Linked DNA regions of Canis lupus familiaris. The protein of the gene in region 4 interacts with the protein of the main gene of each other region in a pairwise test. Links are inferred from orthologs where the notes say so. Each region holds a gene or a part of one and is shown on either strand. Other genes may lie near its edges.

Evidence for each region.
Region 1: the proteins of DMRTB1 (region 4) and IL16 interact in a two-hybrid assay, tested with the Homo sapiens proteins (2 studies listed by BioGRID). The two-hybrid records come from large-scale screens. The link is inferred for Canis lupus familiaris from reciprocal best matches to the Homo sapiens genes DMRTB1 and IL16.
Region 2: the proteins of DMRTB1 (region 4) and EXOSC1 interact in a two-hybrid assay, tested with the Homo sapiens proteins (2 studies listed by BioGRID). The link is inferred for Canis lupus familiaris from reciprocal best matches to the Homo sapiens genes DMRTB1 and EXOSC1.
Region 3: the proteins of DMRTB1 (region 4) and QKI interact in a two-hybrid assay, tested with the Homo sapiens proteins (2 studies listed by BioGRID). The link is inferred for Canis lupus familiaris from reciprocal best matches to the Homo sapiens genes DMRTB1 and QKI.

The regions. Positions count from the first base shown.
Region 1 is NC_049224.1:56,952,356-56,957,707, reverse strand, and holds part of IL16 (pro-interleukin-16), read left to right. Parts: intron 1-2,980; coding exon 2,981-3,239; intron 3,240-3,477; coding exon 3,478-3,600; intron 3,601-5,139; coding exon 5,140-5,231; intron 5,232-5,352. UniProt on the Homo sapiens protein: Interleukin-16 stimulates a migratory response in CD4+ lymphocytes, monocytes, and eosinophils. Primes CD4+ T-cells for IL-2 and IL-15 responsiveness. Also induces T-lymphocyte expression of interleukin 2 receptor. Ligand for CD4.
Region 2 is NC_049249.1:10,915,902-10,921,253, forward strand, and holds part of EXOSC1 (exosome complex component CSL4), read right to left. Parts: intron 4,715-5,352; coding exon 4,640-4,714; intron 3,008-4,639; coding exon 2,919-3,007; intron 976-2,918; coding exon 942-975; coding exon of another isoform or gene 935-941; intron 402-934; coding exon 351-401; intron 222-350; coding exon 137-221; intron 1-136. UniProt on the Homo sapiens protein: Non-catalytic component of the RNA exosome complex which has 3'->5' exoribonuclease activity and participates in a multitude of cellular RNA processing and degradation events.
Region 3 is NC_049222.1:52,501,644-52,506,995, reverse strand, and holds part of QKI (protein quaking), read right to left. Parts: intron 4,402-5,352; coding exon 4,314-4,401; intron 2,774-4,313; coding exon 2,474-2,773; intron 1-2,473. UniProt on the Homo sapiens protein: RNA reader protein, which recognizes and binds specific RNAs, thereby regulating RNA metabolic processes, such as pre-mRNA splicing, circular RNA (circRNA) formation, mRNA export, mRNA stability and/or translation.
Region 4 is NC_049226.1:55,947,735-55,952,440, forward strand, and holds the end of DMRTB1 (doublesex- and mab-3-related transcription factor B1), read right to left. Parts: intron 4,366-4,706; coding exon 4,128-4,365; intron 2,821-4,127; coding exon 2,636-2,820; 3' UTR 1,813-2,635; downstream 1-1,812.

The DNA.
Region 1 (5,352 bases), on a different chromosome or scaffold from region 4:
CTTAAAAAAAAGAAAGAAAATTACAGATGTCTCAGCCTCACACCAGGACTACTGGATCAGAAGTTCTGGGGGTTAAAGCTCTAAGGCCTATACAGCTGCAGGTTTTGTCTGAAGGGACATTTATTTATTTTTTCAAAAGATTTTATTTATTTATTCATAAGAAAGAAGGGAGGAGAGGAGAGGAGAGAGAGAGAGAGACAGAGACAGAGACAGAGACACAGGGAGAGGGAGAAGTATGCTTCATCCAGGGAGCCTGACGGGGGACTCAATTCCCGGTCTCCAGGATCACACCCCGGGCTGAAGGCAGCGCTAAACTGCTGGGCCACCAGGGCTGCCCCTGAAGGGACATTTAAAAAAAACTCAAACTCCTTAAATGTCACCGAGTAGTACACTTTAAAATGGTCCATCATATGTTATGTGAATTTCAAGTCAACAAAAATTCGAAGCAAGCTCTATTTAATGTCTCTTGTTTTGGACAAAAGAGACCGGTAACCTGTTAGCTACTAAACATTTAGACAAGGATGGTTTATGACCACAGGTGCCTTGAGGGGAGGCTGGACAGCTGGAGTTGAAAACTGGGCGGTGATGGCATAGCACAGCATGCTGGATGCAGAGGGGCCTCACCTGAACAGAAAGGTGCCTGGGGAAGGTGGATCCTATAAAGGAGACTGCTTTCCTGGTTTTGCCCACTTGGAAAGTGGAGATGTTAGCTTGGACACTGGAAGGCTGAGACAGAGGGTTGGGACATTAGGGCCATGCCAGAAAGAAGCAGTTCCTGTATGAGTTCACAGAGCACAGAACAGACTGCCCTCTGAGGCTTCAGATCTTGTGGTCCAGCCCCTGTTCTTTGGGGATCAACTGGAGCCTGGGGGCAGAGAGGGGAAGCGGCAGCTCCCCATCACCTCCTCCTCTTCCTCTTTTGGTCCACACGGTCTGCAGTGGCAGCAGCCCACCTGTCTGCTCACCCTATCTGACCTGGATGCTTTCTGGTGGTCCCATCCTCATGGATGGAGCTGAGACATGGCCGCTCCGTCTCTCCAAAGCTGGGTGCACCATCCTCATCAATGGCTGTGTTGTCTCAGTGCACTCTTTATGTGGACTCACATGAATTTCCTTGCCCAGCTAAAAATAAACCCTGCAGTTCATCATCAGCCAGGATTAAATACACCACACCGCCAGGCAGGTGACTTGGCCCATTCCTATTGGTCAATTCAGAGCAGTGACTTCCTTCTCTGCAAGCAGGCTCTCTCTCTCTCTCTCTCTCTCTCTCTCTCTCTCTCTCTCTCTCTCCACACACACACACACACACACACACACACACCCAAAAAACAAAAAAAACCTCCCCTACACACAGATACACAAAACCACTCAGGATCTATTTCTGTCACTAAGCACACAGCAGGGTATGATTATAAAGAGGCTCCTGATCATTGACTTTCTGTTTGAAGAGAGCTGGCCTGTGAGAATAGTACGAGGGATCTTTGGGTTTGCCCTGAGTGGTGACTTCTCTCCACCCTATTTGACAGCTCCCCTGAGACACTGCAGCCACTCAAACCCCAGGAGGAAGCAGTGCACATCAGCCAGGCATATGCACCAAACTTCCTCTTTCTCCTTCTGCATATGAACACTCCCAAGTCATTAAAAGAAAACTAATGTTGAGCACTGTCCAAGACCGAGGCCCACGCTGGGCCCTCACTGGTTTGTCTAAACCCATCTTCCCATGACTGACAGTGGGGGGTGGGCAGGGTACTTAGTGCTATTTATGCTTTATCTATAGAGGTGGGATCTGAGATGGCCAGCAGAGCTTCTGCTTCATACTTGGGTCTTGTACAGAGCCTGGGGATCCTCATCTCTGACCATATCACAGAATTTTTTTGGACATCAAAACAACTTAGAGAAACAGACAGCCTGGTTTCCATGATGATGTACCACATTTCAGTAATAGCCTGTGCATGCTCTCATGCAATCCTCTTAATTATGCACATTAGAATTTACCTCATTAAAGACGCAGATGGAAAGACATGAGGTTTTCTTTTTTTTTAAAAAACCGTCTATTTTGCAAAAAGAGGACCAGAAGGTGTGGCCTCTTTTAACTGGATCAGAATTTCTCTTTTTTTTTTTTTTAAATTTTTATTTATTTATGATAATCATACAGAGAGAGAGAGAGAGAGGCAGAGACACAGGCAGAGGGAGAAGCAGGCTCCATGCACCGGGAGCCCGATGTGGGATTCGATCCCGGGTCTCCAGGTCGCGCCCTGGGCCAAAGGCAGGCGCTAAACCGCTGCGCCACCCAGGGATCCCTGGATCAGAATTTCTAGGGAAATTTTAAAATGCCCAGACTTACTAGGATAGCGTTTCTCAAAAAAAAAAAAAAAAAAAAAAAGAAGCATCCTGTGGAAGATGGGGGCTTGAAAATTCTGCCTGGAAAAAAGGATTCTTGGCTGAAACACTTTTGGGGATCCCATGGCCTGTTCTTACAGAAGCATCATGCAAATTTGCTTCGTAGAGTCTCTAATACCTTTTTAAACAAGCTGTAGATGTTTTCAGAACTTTTGTTTCATCCAGCATTCTTAACTTACTTAGACCTTAGAAACCTTTTCTTATACACCTATTAATGTGACACAGAATCAGTGCTTCCGAAAAACCACCCTAGGAAATGCTGCTGCAGAGCAGGTAAGGGGGAAGATTTGAACTGGGATTGTGAACCAAGATTGTGGTGAACTAAGATTGTGGCAATCGGCTAGGGCATCATGTTAGGAAGGGTTCTGAGGACCAGTCTGGCCATTAGGCTAGCGATCCCTGGTCTGGGTGGTGGATGAGGGAGGCCCTGTGCCAGCAGCCCTGATCTGAGACATAACTTGTATTTTCTTCTCGCTAAGAATCCTTCAGGTTTGACTAACTGGTTTGGATCCTCCTCCAGCAAGAACCTGGACCTGATGCTGGGTGATTCCTGGCTCTTGACTTCCTTTGGTTTGTTCAGGTTCATAGAGTGTTTCCCAACGGGCTGGCCTCCCAGGAGGGGACTATTCAGAAGGGCAATGAGGTTCTGTCCATCAACGGCAAGTCCCTCAAAGGGGCCACACACAACGATGCCCTGGCCATCCTCCGCCAAGCTCGGGACCCCAGGCAAGCCGTGATCGTCACGCGGAAGCCGGCTCTGGAGGCTGCGCCCGACCTGAACTCCTCCACGGACTCTACGGCCTCAGCCTCGGTGGCCAGCGATGTTTCTGTAGATCCCAGTAAGTGCCCCGAGCTCGGTGGGAGCCCCGTGGGTCACGTTGCCCTTGGCCACGTGGGGCCAGTACTGCTGGGGCTGCTCCATGATGCGCGGCCGGCCCGGGACACTGCTGGGGGGTGTGTCTGTGCTCACAGGCGTGCGGGCCCGGGCGGGGCTGCAGATCCAGCGGGCACGAGGCCCAGGCGTCTGTGGGCTGGCGCGGAGGGCACCCCTCACCTGGCCCTGTGCTTCCCCTGCAGCAGAGGCCACGGTACACACGGTGACACTGGAGAAGACCTCTGCGGGCCTGGGCTTCAGCCTGGAAGGTGGGAAGGGCTCCTTGCTCGGGGACAAGCCTCTCACCATTAACAGGATTTTCAAAGGTGGGTGTGTGTCGGCTCCTTGCGTTCTCTCCTGCTGCGAGTGTTGGGCCGGGCCCCTGCAAGGCTGCTAGGCGCCTGCTGGCCAGGCAGGGGGCCACTTGGGGACTGGATTCAGCTCTTTTTACCGGTTCTCCTCGGCTCGGGACAGCCCCTTACCCCTTCTATTTCTCTGGGTCCTCATGACAGAGCCCTGGGCTTGATTCAGCCTGGCAGGCCCGCCCAGCAGGGACTAGGCCGAGATCCGAGAGGCACAGCCCAGGGCACAGCCCTGCAGGGACCCCCACACCCGTGATAGCTTATTTCAGTGTGTTATTTTTATTTTTAATTTCTTAATTATTTTTTAAAGATTTTAGTTGCTGATTCATGAGACAGAAGAAGCAGAGACACAGGCAGAGGGAGAAGCAGGCTCCCTGTGGGAGCCCGATCTGGGACTCGATCCCAGGACCCTGGGATTGCGACCTGAGCCAAAGGCAGATGTTCAACCCCTGAGCCACCCAGGTGGCCTCAGTGCGATATTTCTAAAAATTAAAATTAATGAAAAAATCCATAAGGAACAAAATATCAAAGTTTAAAATAAGGATGGAGTCTGACTTTCCACTTGTACACACTCGGCCTTACTCCTTTCCCCCTGATCCTGGACCGGTCAGCTCCCTTTATTCAAAACTCTGACATTTTGTTCATTGTGGGCTGAGGTGCAAGCTGGCCTAAAGTGGGGGTCACTCGGGTTTTCCCTCGAACATTGTGAACGGCCTGCAGCTCCCACAGAGAACCACCCAGGCTCTTCCCAGCTTCTCAGGCTGGAGCAAAACACAAAACAGGGACATGTGCACAGAGAGAGCACAGAGCAGGAGCCTAGGCCCTGGGTTCCAGCTCAGCCTCTCACTTACTGAGTGACTGCTGTCTCTGGGGCCAGAGGCTCCTCATCCACACAGAGGTGTGGGGTGTGTCTGTGCCCCGGGTGCACGGAGGCTCACTGTGGGGAGGGGAGTCTCCAGGAATCCGTGTTTATTCCAACTCTGGGAAAGACAGTTTAACTTTTGAAGGTGGACTTGGGCTCAGCATGTGGCTCAAAGTCCAGAGGCCAGGTTTCTGGTGTTAGGAGCTGTGCTCCTAACAGCAGCATGATCCTGGACAGGCCTCTACTTAGCAGCCCAGGCCCATCTGCGGACACTGGGCTGGGCCTACCAGCTGCAAGGAGATGGGGACTCTGGGGCGGAGAGTCTGGGTTCAAACCTGGGCCACAATACCTAGCAGCTCTGAAGCTCAGCTGGTTACCTGCATCCTCGGGGTCCTCACAGGTGAAAGGGGACTACTACCACCCAAACAGTGTTAGCAGATCACCTGAGACACACAAGGGCCCGATATTCTCCAGCACTTCTGCATTCTCATTACTATTAGCTTCTATTCATACTCCTGAATATCATTGTATCAAATGGATAGAAAATCCTTCGATAGAAACAATAAAATAACACTCTTTCCACAAGCATCTTTGAATGAGTGGGGGCCATATATGATTATGTCCTCTTCACATGGACCCAGGGGTCTTCTCCAGGCCGTTCAGAGACAGCGCACTGCGAAGGTTCACCAGCCCCCTTCCCACACTGCCCAATGCCTGGCGAGCTCATCAGAAGGCAAGAGACTGCATGTGAACAGAAGGGGTTGGGCTGGTGTCCGAGGAGGGGGGTCAGTTCCCCAAAGGCCTCTATGACCCACAGAAGTCTCCTCAACTGAGCTTGGGGCTGCCCAGAACCT
Region 2 (5,352 bases), on a different chromosome or scaffold from region 4:
CTAATCTCAGTAGTAAGTGATTGACACTCATATTGCGCTCTAGATTTAAAACCAGGGTAACAAGAGAAAACAGTGAATTAATCCCAACTGTAGCTCCCAGGGAAAGAGAAGCATGTGGATGTATGGACCTACTCACCCGATTCACTGTGGGCCACCACCACCCCAAGTTCATTCTCAGCAGTGGTCAGGAGGTAGTTCGATTGTGCATCACCCAGAGAGATCTAGTCACACAATACTGGTGAAGGAAAACAATGGGTGATAAGTCTTCCCTCCCATAGCCACTTGAGTTATTTTCTACTTCTATTTCTTGTTTTGACAAAGGACCACAAGACTGCTGGAATAAAGGATACCACTTTGGCCAAGACAATGTCACCAGGGCGGAAACTCTTATAAATCTCAACCTGTAAAGAAAGAACAGGAATGTTAAGTGAAAGCTCTAAATCAAATCTACATGAAACTATTTGCCCCTCTGGTAGAACCAGTGTACTTTTTAACTCCACAGGGTGGAAGTCATCGTTAGTGAAGCCAATCAACAACTTTTATTGCTTTTACATCATATAAATGAAAGATTTTTATTTTTTATTTTTTTAAATGAAAAATTTTTAATTCAATAACCTGGTAACGGATCTTAGATAAAAGTTACTACAGTTGGCTCTGAAAGAATACAAAGTAAATCTGAGGGAATAGCAAAGAATAGACACCTGGCTTCAAAGGCAAGGAATAAAGTAGTCCCCTTCTGCTCAATAGAGCAAACAAAAAATCCTAAGGAAAGGAAAAGGACAGTGAGGTGAATTCCACACTTTCCAGTAGGAAACACCTTAAAATTCCTTGGACCTTTGGATCCACATTCCCACAGATGTTTGAAATTCCCTGGAGTAATTTAAAAGGATCGAGATTCCTAAAGTCATAAGGGGAAAAAAAAAAAAGAACCAACCAACAACCTTGTCTTTTTCAGTAGCTCGGACATCTTCCTTGCTATAAAAAAGAATTAACAAAAGATTAATTATCTGTGAGAATTATCCTGCAGAATCATAGCAGACAGAGAGCTACAAGAATAGAGAGAACAAATCATAATTGGGACCCAAAGGCCACCCAGAAGTGGGGTGGAGAAGCATTCCAAGTCCTCCCCTGGAGGAGAAAACCACATTCCCATTCTTGGGTCACACAGAGCAGCAGTATCAATACCTTTGACTAGAGAAAAGCAGATCAGATTTGGCAGGAAAGAATAAGGAACTTTGCTGCCTTAGGAAAGCTTGTACAGAAGCACTACAGAACCAACATGGAATCCTAAGGGTGGAAAGAGCCTTAGAAGCTATATCTAGCTCACAAGAATTGTTGGTCTCTACTTTAAAAACCTACAGGAAAAAACAAACAAAACCCTACCATTCCACTCACCTTTTTAAAAATATATTTTATTTTTTTAAGATTTATTTATTTTACAGAGAGAGAGAAAGAGTGCATATGCCATGAGTGGGGGGGGGGAGCGTGCACCCTATTTTACAGAGGGAGAGAATCTCAAGCAGACCCCTCACTGACTGCAGAGCCAGACACGAGGCTTGATCTGACGACAGCTTATGAGATCACGATCTGAGTTGAGATCACAAGTCGGTCGCTCAACCAACTGAGCCACTCAGGCACCTCTAAGATTCTATTTTTAAGTAATCTCTATGCCCAACATGGGGCCTGAACTCAAAACACCGAGATCAAGACTTACATGCTTTACTGACTGAGCCAGACAGGTGCCCCTCACCCACTAACCTTTTTTTTTTTTTTTTTTTAAGATTTTATTTATTTATTCATTCATAGAGACAGAGAGAGAGAGAGGCAGAGACTCAGTCAGAGGGAGAAGCAGGCTCCATGCAGAGAGCCTGACGTGGGACTTGATCCAGGGTCTCCAGGATCACGCCCTGGGCTGCAGGCGGCGCTAAACCGCTGCGCCACCGGGGCTGCCCACCCACTAACCTTTTTACCTTTTTAAAGTCTTTCGGGGGATCCCTGGGTGGCGCAGCGGTTTGGTGCCTGCCTTTGGCCCAGGGCGCGATCCTGGAGACCCGGGATCGAATCCCACGTCAGGCTCCCGGTGCATGGAGCCTGCTTCTCCCTCTGCCTATGTCTCTGCCTCTCTCTCTCTCTGTGTGACTATCATAAATAAATAAAAATTAAAAAAATAAAAAAAAATAAAAATAAAGTCTTTCGGGATCCCTGGGTGGCGCAGCGGTTTGGCGCCTGCCTTTGGCCCAGGGCGCGATCCTGGAGACCCGGGATCGAGTCCCACGTCGGGCTCCCGGTGCATGGAGCCTGCTTCTCTCTCTGCCTATGTCTCTGCCTCTCTCTCTCTCTCTCTCTCCGCCCCCCATCATAAATAAATAAAATTAAAAAAAAAAAATAAAGTCTTTCAATCCTTAGATTTAAACTATATTAAATACAAAAAAGGAAGATATTTCTTAAGATGCCTTTAACTTTTTTTTTTTTTAAAGATTTTATTTATTCATGAGAGATACAGAAAGAGGCAGAGACATTGGCAGAGGGAGCAGCAGACTCCCTGCAGGGAGCCCGGTGCAGGACTCAATCCCAGGACCCCGGGATCACGACCCGAGCCAAAGGCAGACACTCAACCACTGAGCTACCCAGGTGCCCCTAATTTGTTCCATATGAACTTCCTGCAACACTAGTTTCCAGCTTAGCTCAATTCTTTTCATTTTATTTTAAAGCCCAATCTTGTCAATATTTTCCTTTTGTCCTAGCTCATACATTATAACATTTCCTTTGGACACTACCTGGACAGAATCAAAGAACAAAGAGGAGAGAGAGGCAGGTAGATATAGGAACTGTAATTGTTCCTAAAAATTTCAATCCCTGTTCTATTCTAATCTCATTCCAGGTGCTGATGCAAATGCAAAAACATGAATACTTCTTACCGGATAGTTCCTCGAAAAGAGTTCTTAAGTGGTGTGGACCCCACATATAGGATGTGCACTTTGGCAAAGCGTGAATTGATGCTAGAGACCTGTGGAACAGAAAAAAGATCAGCATTAGAGTAGTAGCAGTTGTCAGTTCAAGGAGGCAGCAAGAAAGGAATTACCAGTGTTTTAGTCCAAGCAATCCTACTAATTATAGAATTTAAGACAAGTTAACTCCTACTTAATTCTGCATAAATGATATATGTCAAATGGAATGAGAGTCTCTCCAGCCACCTAATAAAGTTACTGTGGGCATCCAATGAAATAATATGGAATATATCTTGAAAAATACAGAAGCCTAACAAATAAAAACAGGGCATTACCGTAAATCTAGACCTTTAACTGATCTTACCAAGAGCCCGGTACAGTGCACAGAAAAATTTTTTTAAATGTTTATATTTCTTTTTTTTTTAATTTTTTATTTATTTATGACAGTCACACACAGAGAGAGAGAGAGAGAGAGAGGCAGAGACACAGGCAGAGGGAGAAGCAGGCTCCATGCACCGGGAGCCCGACGTGGGATTTGATCCTGGGGTCTCCAGGATCGCGCCCTGGGCCAAAGGCAGGCACCAAACCGCTGCACCACCCAGGGATCCCCAGTGGACAGAATTTAAGTGTACATTTCAGTTACTGTGTAATATTTGGATCACTGCCTCTTCAGTTATTTTAAGAATAACACATTGATTTTCTGCTGGAACAATTTATAAACAGCAACTAAGAACTCAAGTTGATTTAACTTAACATGGGGGTGGGCAGAGAGTAAGGATGTCTTGTAGTTACTGATCAGTATAGCATTAATTTGTATTTCCCCTGAAACACCCCAAATGATGAAATTTATTTTTAAAAAAGATTTTATTGGGATCCCTGGGTGGTGCAGCGGTTAAGCGCCTGCCTTTGGCCCAGGGCGCAATCCTGGAGACCCGGGATCGAATCCCACGTCGGGCTCCCGGTGCATGGAGCCTGCTTCTCTCTCTGCCTCTCTCTCTCTCTGTGACTATCATAAATAAATAAAAATTTAAAAAAAATAAAAATAAAAATAAATAAAAAAGATTTTATTTATTTATTTGAGAGAAAGAAAGAGACACAGCATGAGTGGAGAGAAGGGGCAGAGGGAGACAGAAAAGCAGACTCCCTGCTGAGCAGGGAGCCTGATGCAGGGCTGGATCCTAGGATCACCACCTGAGCCGAAGGCAGACATTTAACTGACTGGACCACCCAGGTGCCCTAAAAGATGAAATTTAATAGGTCTTTATAAGGTCTTTTGCTTCTCTCCAGACTAAAATAGCTTCTAAATGTTAAAAATAGGCTTCCTTATTATTATTACCCTTTGGCACCTGTTTCCCAAACTGCATACTCAGGGAATCAGCTCAGTGAAAGAGCTACGCATGCTTGAACTTGGCTGCCTTGATCACTATCCCAGAACTTTCTAGGCCGGCACAGTCCAGTAACACTGTGATGATTAAAATGTTCTGTGCTGGCCAACAAGGCAGCTGTCAACTATACGTGAGCACTTGGAATGTAGCTAGTGAGATGGAGGAAATGAACTTTCAATTTTAATTCATTTCAATTAAATGGCCACATATGGCTAGTGACTGCCACATAAGACAGAGCACTTCCACAATGATCATGATTTCACCATTGAACAGGTGTCCTAAGAAGGGAGGTTAAGACCTACTTACCTTACAGGTTACAATAGTCCCCACATCTGGTAGCAATTGAGATTCTGTTTCTCTCATCACAGAAATCACAGGAAGCTATAGACAGAACAATAAAATGTGAGATCCTGACTAAGCCTTCCATAAAGGTATCTGGCTTAAGAATAATGTAGGAATGCTTTGGTCCACAGCTGAGATCACAAGCACAGATGGACTACAGACTCATATGTGCCCAGGGCAGACAGTCTTAGAAATTTAAGGCAAATAGGAAGGTCAAGGGGCCATTTTTCAAAAGAAAGATGCTACCAGAAGACATAATCTAATCATTTCAGAACAGTTCTAACAAGTTTTCTTTTTGTGGTTTTCTTGGAATTTCTTGGTATATAATCAATTGTGGATAACTTGACTCTTCTCTTCAAAGTTCTACTACTTCCTTCTGATTTTCACTCTATTGTACTGGCTAGAATTTCCAAATAAATGTTATATAATAATGGCCATACTTTATTTTTTTCTATTTTAAGGGAATACTTGTAGCTTTCCCTTTGAGCATGGTATTGGCTATTGGTATAAAATATGTATTTTTTAAAGATTTATTTCAGAGAGAGAGAGAAAGCATGCGCAAGTGGGGAGAGGGAGGGAGAGAATCTCAAGCAGATTCCCCACTGAGGGGGGGAGGGGGCACTGACACCGGACTTAATCCCAGGACCCTGAGATCATGACCGGAGCTGATATCCGGA
Region 3 (5,352 bases), on a different chromosome or scaffold from region 4:
TCCAAACATATTTAAGCTTTACTAGTCACATATTCACTGAAGTGCCTTTCTTGCAGCAGGACCACTTAAATAATGCCATGTTTAATACTGACAATTATTTGCTAACCTTAAGACCACTTCCAGAGTTTATCACTTAAAAAGGTTTAAAAGCAATTCTTAAAGCCTACAGATTGTGGTTTTAAACTTTGAGTCAATAAGTATGAACTGCAATGAATTAGGTGATTAGTAAAGCAAACAGTATAGTACACTTAGCAGTCAGTATACTACTATACACTCCTTTATAAATTACCGTTACTTTGTAAGATTACAGACTAAACCAAATTAATAACATACTTTTACTTTCTATCAGTGTGCAAAAAGTGCAAGTAAGTCACTGACTGCTAGGCTAAGCTTTCCCCCCCACCCCACCCCCGGAGGCTGCTGAGACTAAGCATTTGTTAAATTCAGATCTGATGAGGGTTCAGTTAAGACCGTTCTTGAATTCTTAGCCTTTCGTTGGGAAAGCCATACCTAAAGATAAAAGGAAGGGAATTAAAAATTAGTCATCAATGAAGATTTGATGCTAATACCAATCTCCTCACTACCACCAACACACATGTCTGCATCTGTTTTGAAGGGCACTGCTTATTTTAAAATAATATGATGTGAGACTTGATATATATCATGCATGTTATCTGTGTGCAAATTTATTATAACTTAGGAATTTGAAATAATTTTTTCAGTTCTCTAAGTGCTCAATGTCACGTTTTACTGCTTAGGTGGCAAAGCGAGAAACAGGATTGATAATGGATTTTGATCATTTAGTACTATTATTCATTTTATGAATGCCAATTAGGTATCTGTATATATTTTGCTTTTAATTTGTCAGTCTAATAATTATTACAAATAAAAATTTCCCAACACAACAAAAAACACATTGCTTAAAATGAGAAACTGCAGTGCCTCTTGCTGTTTCTAAGCAGTAAACTGGTCCATCACCCCTTTTTTCATTTTAGATAAACTAATCTTATACAAGTAGAATTCCACGAGGCAAAATCAGCGAGATCTTGCATTGAGAGTGCTGGAACAGCAGCTGGTGGCTAAGAGTGCCAGCCCTGCAGGAAGCAACCAACTCCTCGAACAGACGCTGTGCGTGCAGCAGAGAGGAGCTCTGGGGAAAGGAGCAGGCATGGGGCCACAAGACAGAGCGTTAACAGAAAGGAAGACGTAAACAGGTTACAGGTTACAGGTTATTTTAAAAATGCTTCAAGAAATGTGCAACAGAAACAAGCTTCTCATAAACAATTCTATAAATTCTGACTTATGATACTTTATACAATGATTTAGAGATAAAACGGAAAACATGTACAATAAAATGTATTTGCTCATGAAACAAAAGGCACCTGAGTGCATGCACACACACAGATAACATACAGAGCATTGTGGCTTTCTTTAATTGAACAATGAATTTTCAAGTTTAAATCTTAGTGTCCGGGTTCATTAAAGACTTTCAAATTTTTATAGATCAGTATTAATGCTGGAAAAAAAAAACCTTAAAAGATCAAAGTCCTAAGAGTCAACAGCATGCATGCAGCACCAAGGTCATATACAATTCAAGGAAAAAAAGTATTCATATTCTGTCTGGTAAAACAAAGGGGCAGCACGGAAACAGTTTGTCCCACATTGACTGGTCGTGTTATAACAGCTGCTGTATTCTAGTCCTTCATCCAGCAAGTCAATGGGCTGAAATATCAGGCATGACTGGCATTTCAATCCACTCTATAAAAAAAAGGCATCAGTAATGTCTTTTTCAAGCACACCACTTTTTGTTCATGTAAAACCAAGCGTTCATACTATGATCTTAATTTTTGCCTCAAAGGTGATTCTAAAACAGTGACTTGGTATTTACTTATCAATTCCATACTGTACTACTGAAATTAGGAATTTCTTTTATGTTTGACATTAACTAATAACTTCAAGAGAGAAAAACTGAGAAGCTGAAGAATCCAACTAATTTACCTGGTCTCTTTCATATTTACGTGATCACAAATATTAGAAAACACACAGACAATAACAGCAGTTATAAAAAAGATCTCAAAATATTTCCACACAGAAATTTAAAATTTAGATGACAACCAACTAATTCCCTGAGACGAAAGGAATCTAACTGTGGGCAGTGGAGCAAATGGAGGGGATAGGCCAAACTCAGAACGACCTCAGTGATGTCAAAAGTGAAAAGTACTTTCCGTTTAAGTGTTCATAGCTGATTTACTCAAAGTGAATCTGAGTTACCAAAGAGAATCTGAGCACACCTAAGGTGCAATTCTTTAAAAAGGGAGCCATTAAGAGAGGCTGAAATAAAACAAACTTTAGGCTTCTGTCTTCCTAATGGAAACTTGTCTTGCCTCTCCAAAACGGATATAATCATTTCAAAGTCTGAAGCACAGAAGTCATGAAGAAATAAACTGCCAGCCACACAGGGAGAACAACTTACCTAATACACCACTAGGTTCAATAGGATACTCAAGGATGGATGTCGCTGGTGCCAACGTGTAGGGGTACTCATAGGGTGTGTAGATCAAACCAGCTTCGGGCCCCGGAGGAACTATTGCAGCAGTCGGGTGAGGAGTTCCGTTTGGCATGACAGCGGTCTGTATTTGTCTGATCAAAGGCATTATGGTAGGGCCAGCTGGCGTAGGAGTACGCAGGGCAGCTGGTGGGAGAACAGGCGCAGGCCCAGTGATAATCCTTGGAGCAGCCTGGGCTGTTGCTGCAAGAGAAAAGGCAAGGGCTGCTACAGTAAGCAAAGAAATGTAGGAGAAGTGTAGAGACAGCAGTATAAAATATGGAAAATGAGAGGGAAGTAGGAAAAAGAAAGGAGAAGCAGGAAAGAAGAAAAATAAAAGGAAATCATTAGTACATGCGCTGATCACACAAAATGCCAAAGCACACTGATCAAATGCAAACAGCTTCCCCTTTCCCAGTGTGATTAAGAATAAATGTGCAAAAATTAACAAGCCACTGTAAAAAAAAAAAAAAAAAAGAATGAGACCATTAAAATAGGTTATATTTAGTTCATGTATTTGATATATCTGTGTTTTTAAGATCTCCTGAGACTAAAGGTACATGCAAAAGCACATGGAAATACTCGCATTAAAAGAAGTTAAAAAATTTTGGAATTGGGAGTCCATAGAAATACAGCTTTGGTATATTTCTAAAGAAAAACTTAAGTTTCAAATGAAAAAAAAGAATAATTTTTACTGTATTAAGTTAGCCAACGACTAGTTTTATTTATATAAACTTCTTGCATCTGTATGAACTTCATACAAAAAACAATATAAAAAATGTCCCATTCCTAAGCATAAGACTATTAATGATATACTCATTCTCATGAATAAATTAAAGCCAAATATTTGTAAAGTAACCACTTCTGAATCTAGTAAATTGCCTCTATTTTGGACACCTATTCTATTTCTTGGGACGCCTGGGTGGCTTAGCGGTTAAGCGTCTGCCTTCGGCTCAGGGCATGATCCTGGAGGCCCGGGATGGAGTCCCACATTGCGCTCCCTGCATGGAGCCTGCTTCTCCCTCTGCCTATGTCTCTGCCTCTCTCTCTCTCTGTGTCTCTCATGAATAAATAAATAAAATCTTAAAAAAAAAATTCTAGTTCTTAAAAAAACAAAACAAAACAAAAAACTAGTAATTTAAATAATTACGTTCATTAAAAGAACTGTAAACCTTCAACTGCCTCAAAAAATAAAAAAAGCAATCCTCTTCAAGTTTAGGAAGCGTCCACAGATATATCTAAAGGAAAAATGGGATTAAAACAGTATCATCTACTGCTCTCTGTGAATTCAGCTCATATACAAAATCAACAGAGAAAAATACCGGAGGGGAACATTAGCAAGCATGGTGAGAGGACAGAATTCGACAAAAGGGTCACTGCTTTCATATACATTCCAAATCAGCTTTTAAAAAAAAAAGTCTAAAAATTATTTTCTCTTTTGCATAAATATAACAATAAGCTCGAAGCCTTAAATCTGTAGTTAAAAGAATAGGAAATTTCCCGAAACTTTTAAATTTAGAAGTTGAAATATCATTGAAATAATAAAAGTTTATAAACTCCAAACTTAGACATGCTGGCATCAAATAAAGGAGACTGTCCCCAATTCATGAAAGCAGTAAAAATGGGACTGTGAGTCCCTTATTAAGTGATAATTATTTCGACTCTTCACATAGTGTGAAGCTCGTGTGCTGCACTGCCAACAGGAGAAAAGGTTTGTGGACAAAATAATTGATTCAGCTGTAACCATGGACCTCAGTCTCATTCTTACGTGATTTAATGTTGGCATCTCTGTAGGTGCCATTCAGAATTGCAAGCTCCATCAGCTGCATCTTCTTCAGGCTGTCTTCTCCCTCTGCCTATACATGGAAAACACAAGAGTAGTAGTAAGCACTTAAGATGGTCTGTACACATCACAGCCATATGTACTCACCAGCCTTAAAATAGGGATTATGGGACTATAGCCACCTGCTTCAATTGTGGGGGGAGGAGGAAGGAAAGATTAGGGAACCAAAAGGTGCTGACGTACTGATACAAAGGATACTCTCTCAACATGTAGCCACTAGCTACATTTCTGTTTGGAAATTTTTTATGTAAACTACACTGATTTATTAAAGTTCCCCCAAAAGCTGTGCTAAATGGAATAAATATTAGTTAAGATTAAATATAGTACATTTATTCTCTTTAGGATCTATCATTTTGTAGAAGATTCAAAAACTCAATGTGATCATTAAAGGGGGGGGGGGGGAACAACCCACAAAAAACCAAGCAACCTCCCTCACTCTGCCACCAAACTGGTATTTTAAACATATAACATGATGGTGGTATTCATATGTGAGAATTCTGTTTAATTTTCCAAAATGGAAAATTTAATAAAATTATAATCATAAGAATTTCTAAAATTTGAATATTTATTCTGCTCTTTTATGCCAACATTCCTCCCTTCCTCAGTTAGTAAATACTACCATTCTAAAGCAAATCTACCTTTAGGGCCAAGTTAGAATGGTAGAATGGTAGTATTACCACTGTCCAAGCCACAAGGCATTCAAAAGTGAAAGCTCTTAATAACTATGCAACGGTGACAGGCTTAAAAAACCTGGATTGTCTCTGACCATTCCATTTACCTTGGATTTGCTCTACCCTTTCCATTTACTGTTGTCACATCACTCTTCTTCTAGTCATTATTGGTGTATTACCAAAACTACTACAATATTATGTTAATAGTATCTGTTCTCCAATCTGTACAATGACAAGATTAATTGTATAAAACATAACTTTTTTTCTTAATGTTCCTTCAGATTTTCATGTCT
Region 4 (4,706 bases):
CGCTGCGCAAACCCGGTCCTCCCGCCCAGCGGGCTGCGGACCTGCGCGCTTCTCGGCCGCCGGTCGCTAGGCAACAGGCCCCGCCCATAGCCGCTGCCGCGTGCCCTCTCCCGGCGGCGCCCTGACAGTGCATCCAGCGTCAGGCCAGGCCCGCCGGCTGCTGCCTTCCAGAACATTCTCTCAGTTTATGGCCAAGCCTCGGTCATTAGGGCTGGGCAGTGCTGCTGGCTGCCAGTCTGTCCCTTCCCTTCATTTTCTGCCTGGACCTGGCCGACTCTACCCCTGCAAGACCTGTGCTGGGCCAGCCAGTGAGGAGAGGAGGCTGGAGGGGGGCAGGCCCACTGGCTTGAAGATGTTGGCCTCGGGGCAGTAGGGAGCCATAGAAGGTGTGCAAGCAAGGTAGCAACGCGAGCAGATGTGGTGTTTCAGCCTCATGCTGTTGCTGCTGAAGGACTGCAGGATGGAACAGGACATTCAGGGAGCATAATGGATTGACTAGAAAGGCTACAGGGAGCAGGGGTCCCCTGACCTTAGCATGGTGAGAACGAGGAAAGGATGAGCCCGGGCTGTCGGAGCTTGGGGTTCACACCAGGGGGGAAGAGAGGAAGCAGGTCTCCAACCCTGCCCGTGGCTGTCTTGTCACTGCAGCTGGCACCCTCAAGGTCCCAGGGAAGAAGCTAACCAGGCTCCGGAGATTCGTCAGATCACAGGTCTATAGGAGAACCGAGCATTCCTCCCCTCCCTGGAGTTCTGTGGACACGGATTTCAGCAACAGGACACTGTCCTTCTCAGCCTCCAGAGCGCCCCTTCTCAACCCCACAGACTGAATAAACATCCTATTTCCTTGCCCCGGTCTGGAATGCTTTGGAGTCCATGTGGCCAGACTCTCAGACCTGTGTATTGCAGATCAGAAATACTTTGATTAATGCAGCTTGGGTGAAAATCTTCAAAACAGGGAGTCTAAGATAAAGCAGTGTAATGAAGGAGTACGGAGGGGCACTGATCCAGCCCTACTTGGCCATACTGACGGGGCAGGGTGAGGCCATCTGGAACCCAGGGCTCCTCAGGGCTGTGGACCCCAAGACAGGACCAGTGCTATTATGCAGGAAGCATTGGGGGGCTTCAGCCTCAAAGCCAGGCTAGTCCAACATCACAGCATCAGGCAGAGACAAGACAATGCTGCCCTGCAGGCCTCAGTGCCTGGGTCGGCCCTGCTAGGACTGCCCAAAAAGCAGGGACAGAAACCTTCTAGGACTAGATCCTGCTCCAGTGCCAACAGAGCAGGCCGAGGCCCAGCCAGGACACTCATGTTGGGAGAACAGAGAGCATTTCTCAGCGATCATCTTGCCGCTTGTCCTGGGGATTCTGGGACACCCCTGCCTACAAGCCAGGTGGCATGCAGACTGGCCTGTTTGAGTGCCAGTCTGCCCCTGGACAGAGGACAGGACACAGTGTCTCACCCAGAATCCTTCACTCCAGGTCCCTTACTCTTTCTGCACCCACCCCCCAGGAATGCCTACTTTCACCTTTAAGATAGAGTTGAGATCCCAACTTCTGACCACCCCCACAGCTGAGTGAGGGAAACTAAAAGAAATCTTTACATCTTGTGTGTCTGCAATGTCCTCAAAAGGTCTCCACTGCTTAAGAAAAATGGTGGGAATATCAACGACAGACAGAAATCTAGTAGCCTGGCCCAACCCTCTCCCTTGGCAACAGGGAAAGGGGAGGTAAGCCAGGAAGGGACTTGCCAGGCCCAGACGCTCTCCCCAAAACCACCTTCCACAAGACTTAAAGAAAATGAAACTTGCACGATGATTTCCACTGCTTATTTTATTTCAACAGTCAACTGTCCCCAGAGAAGAAATGGATACATAGATGATTTAGAAGCACCATTCTCTTCTGAGAACTGCATCAGTGCTTACAAACAGCCTACTTTTTAAAGTTGGCAATCACTATAAAAATATCAAATAGTCAAACTTTAATAGATTTTTTTTAACCAGAAAAGATGCCTATAGTGGCTTAAACTTTATGGAGAGGAGAGGAGGCAGCCCCAGCAGTCAGAATGCTTGGTGCAGCCCCTTGGAGAAGGGGCGAGAGGCAGTGGCCAGGCAGCCCTCACAAGAGATAGAGCAGCAGGGAAGGACGCTGTAGAACCTGCTGTCAGCACCTGGTCCCAGCTGCCCACACAAACCACCTGGATGTGCTTGGGGCTCAGTGTTTGTGCTGCCCCCAGCTGGGACCAAGCAGAGGCGGAAGCAGAAGGCTGAAATAGATGGTGCCTCCTGTCCTGGAGCGGGCCCGAGGAAATCAAAGACCACTTCTGGGAGTGAGTCTAACAGCAGCACAACCCAGACTCAGTTAAATTCATTCCTAAATGTGAGCTTCCACCAGCCCCCCAATCCTCAAAGCCCTGGCCCTCCCCTGCTAACCATCCTCCATGTTCCTGGTCAATCCCACGTCTCTGGATAGAGAGAACCTTAGAAATCACCTTCCTCCCTCCTGTCTTGAAATGGAAATTAAACTGCCATTTTATGTCTACTACTACCCTTCCTCCCTACACATCCCCAAACCCGTTAAGAACATCATTGCTGCAACACCCGCAACCCCCACCCCGCTGGCCCAAGCATGCCAGGGCCTAGTTGGACTGCTCCTTGGAAGGCAGCTGGCTGGGCTCACCCGGCAGCACCTCCGCCTCTGCCTCAGGCGCCTCTGCCTCCACCTCAGGGGCCCCCGCCTCCGCTTCAGGGTCCTCCGCCTCAGGGGCCCCCGCCTCCGCCTCAGGCACCCCGGGCTCCTCTGGTACCCCTGCATCCTGGCCATCTGTGAAGGACAAAGAGGGGCTGGATTTACAAACAGGGGAATTACCTACTTTCAGATGCAAACTTTTGGTCAGGCATTCTCAGGGTTCCCAGCCTCTGCGGAGAATGCCTTTGCCCTCCATGGGCCAGGTGTCCGGACCCTGGCAGCCTAGCCCCAGCCCAACACAGACTCCAGCTCACACTCTGGCTCTGCCTGTCGCCAGCTGGGTGGCCAGGAGCAAGCTACCCCGAGGCTCTGAACTTCTGCACGCTTCTGGGGAATGAGATCTGCCCTCCCAACGTCAGGTCAGCAGGGGATGACAGGAAACAGGGAGAATGAACACAAATGCCGTCCTGGGGTGCAGGTTCAGATGGGTCCTCAGAATCACCTCCTGAGGTGGGGCCGTTAAGCCCACTTCTGCAGAAGGTGAGGGAGGGGGGAGGCTCCAAGGACTGAATGACCTTGCCGCGGGTCACAAAGCTACTGTCTGGCTCTGGGGCCAGCATGCTTCAAGCCACACACCATCTCTGCCTATCTAGGCATCTCAAACACAGCACGTGTGTACAGAAGGCCTCACTTCCTTTTCCTAGGGAGCCTCAGGGAAGGACTGAAAGGGGAAAAAAAAATCCTAGAACCTTTAAAGCTGCAAGAACCCTCGTAAGAAAACCTAAAGCACTTTTACCTCTAATATTGACTACCACAATAACCCTGTTAACAGGACCCATTTTACAGATGAGGAGACAGGCCTCGAGTGAGTGGGAGGGCCTGAGGTCACCCAGTGCGCCAGTGGCAGAGCAATGAAGGACAGGGTCCCTGGCTCCTGGCCGGTTTCTCTCCACGAGGACTTATCCCTAGCAACCCCCACCCAGTTCCAGCTGCTGCCCCAGCCTCAGCATCTGCTGCTTCCCTCTCTAGAATAGCCCCAGCTGAGCCAGAGCAGCCTGGCACAGCTGGTCTCCTGAACACACCACAGGAATGCCATCCTTCACATCTCTGCCCACAGGCCCTGATAAGGGGTGGGGGTGGGGGGGATTGGGAATTAGCATGAGCTCCGGAGCCAGACAGAATTCTGTGGAGATCCAAGCGCTGCCATCTTCCATTTACATATGTGAGAACCTCTCAGGGTTCCATTGGTTTTCTCACCTGAGACTGGGGAGCCCCTCTTGGATGCTTGCATATGGAATAAAAAGAGGGATATAACTGAAGAGCTCATCCCCAGACCCAATGCATTTTAAATTCTGCTCTCCACCTCTACTTTGTGATTAGGCCCCCTTCCTCCAGGAAGTCCTCCTGGCTCCCCAGAAGCTGAAAGCCTGGGGCCCTCTTACCAGTGGTTTCCTTGTCTGTATCAGACAGAATGGTGAGAGAGAAAGATGCCGGTGGTGGCGGCGGTGGCAGAGGCGGCAGAAAGTGGAGCGCAGACAAGAAGCCTGGTGGGAGAAATTGAGGCTGCGGCGGTGGTGGCGGCGGCGGTGGTGGTGGAGGCGGCGGCGGTGGTGGTGGAGGTGGCGGCGGCGGCGGCAGCGGGTAGTAGCTTGGCTGGAAGTCTCCCACTGGCTCCGGGACCTGCATGGCGCCCAGAGGGAGAGGGTTAGCCAGACAGGCTGGTCAGACAGGCCTCAGACTGCTAAATAGGGGGCTCCCAAAGGGGCAGATTCACCTCTGTGACCCAATACCTAGGCACAGGGCACATGAAACAGGGTGTTCAGCAAATACCCATCCAGTGATTGAAGGCAAGAAGAAATTCAGGCATCTCAGGTACGCCTGGGGAACAGCCACATAGTCACACTGAGCCCTTCTGACCCTAGGAGGGAGGTTCTAGCACCATCCTCACTGCAATGAGTGTCAGTGGGGTGAAGCTTCAGGCCGAGGGCCACAGAGCTGGGAAGTGAGAGGCAAAAGTGGGT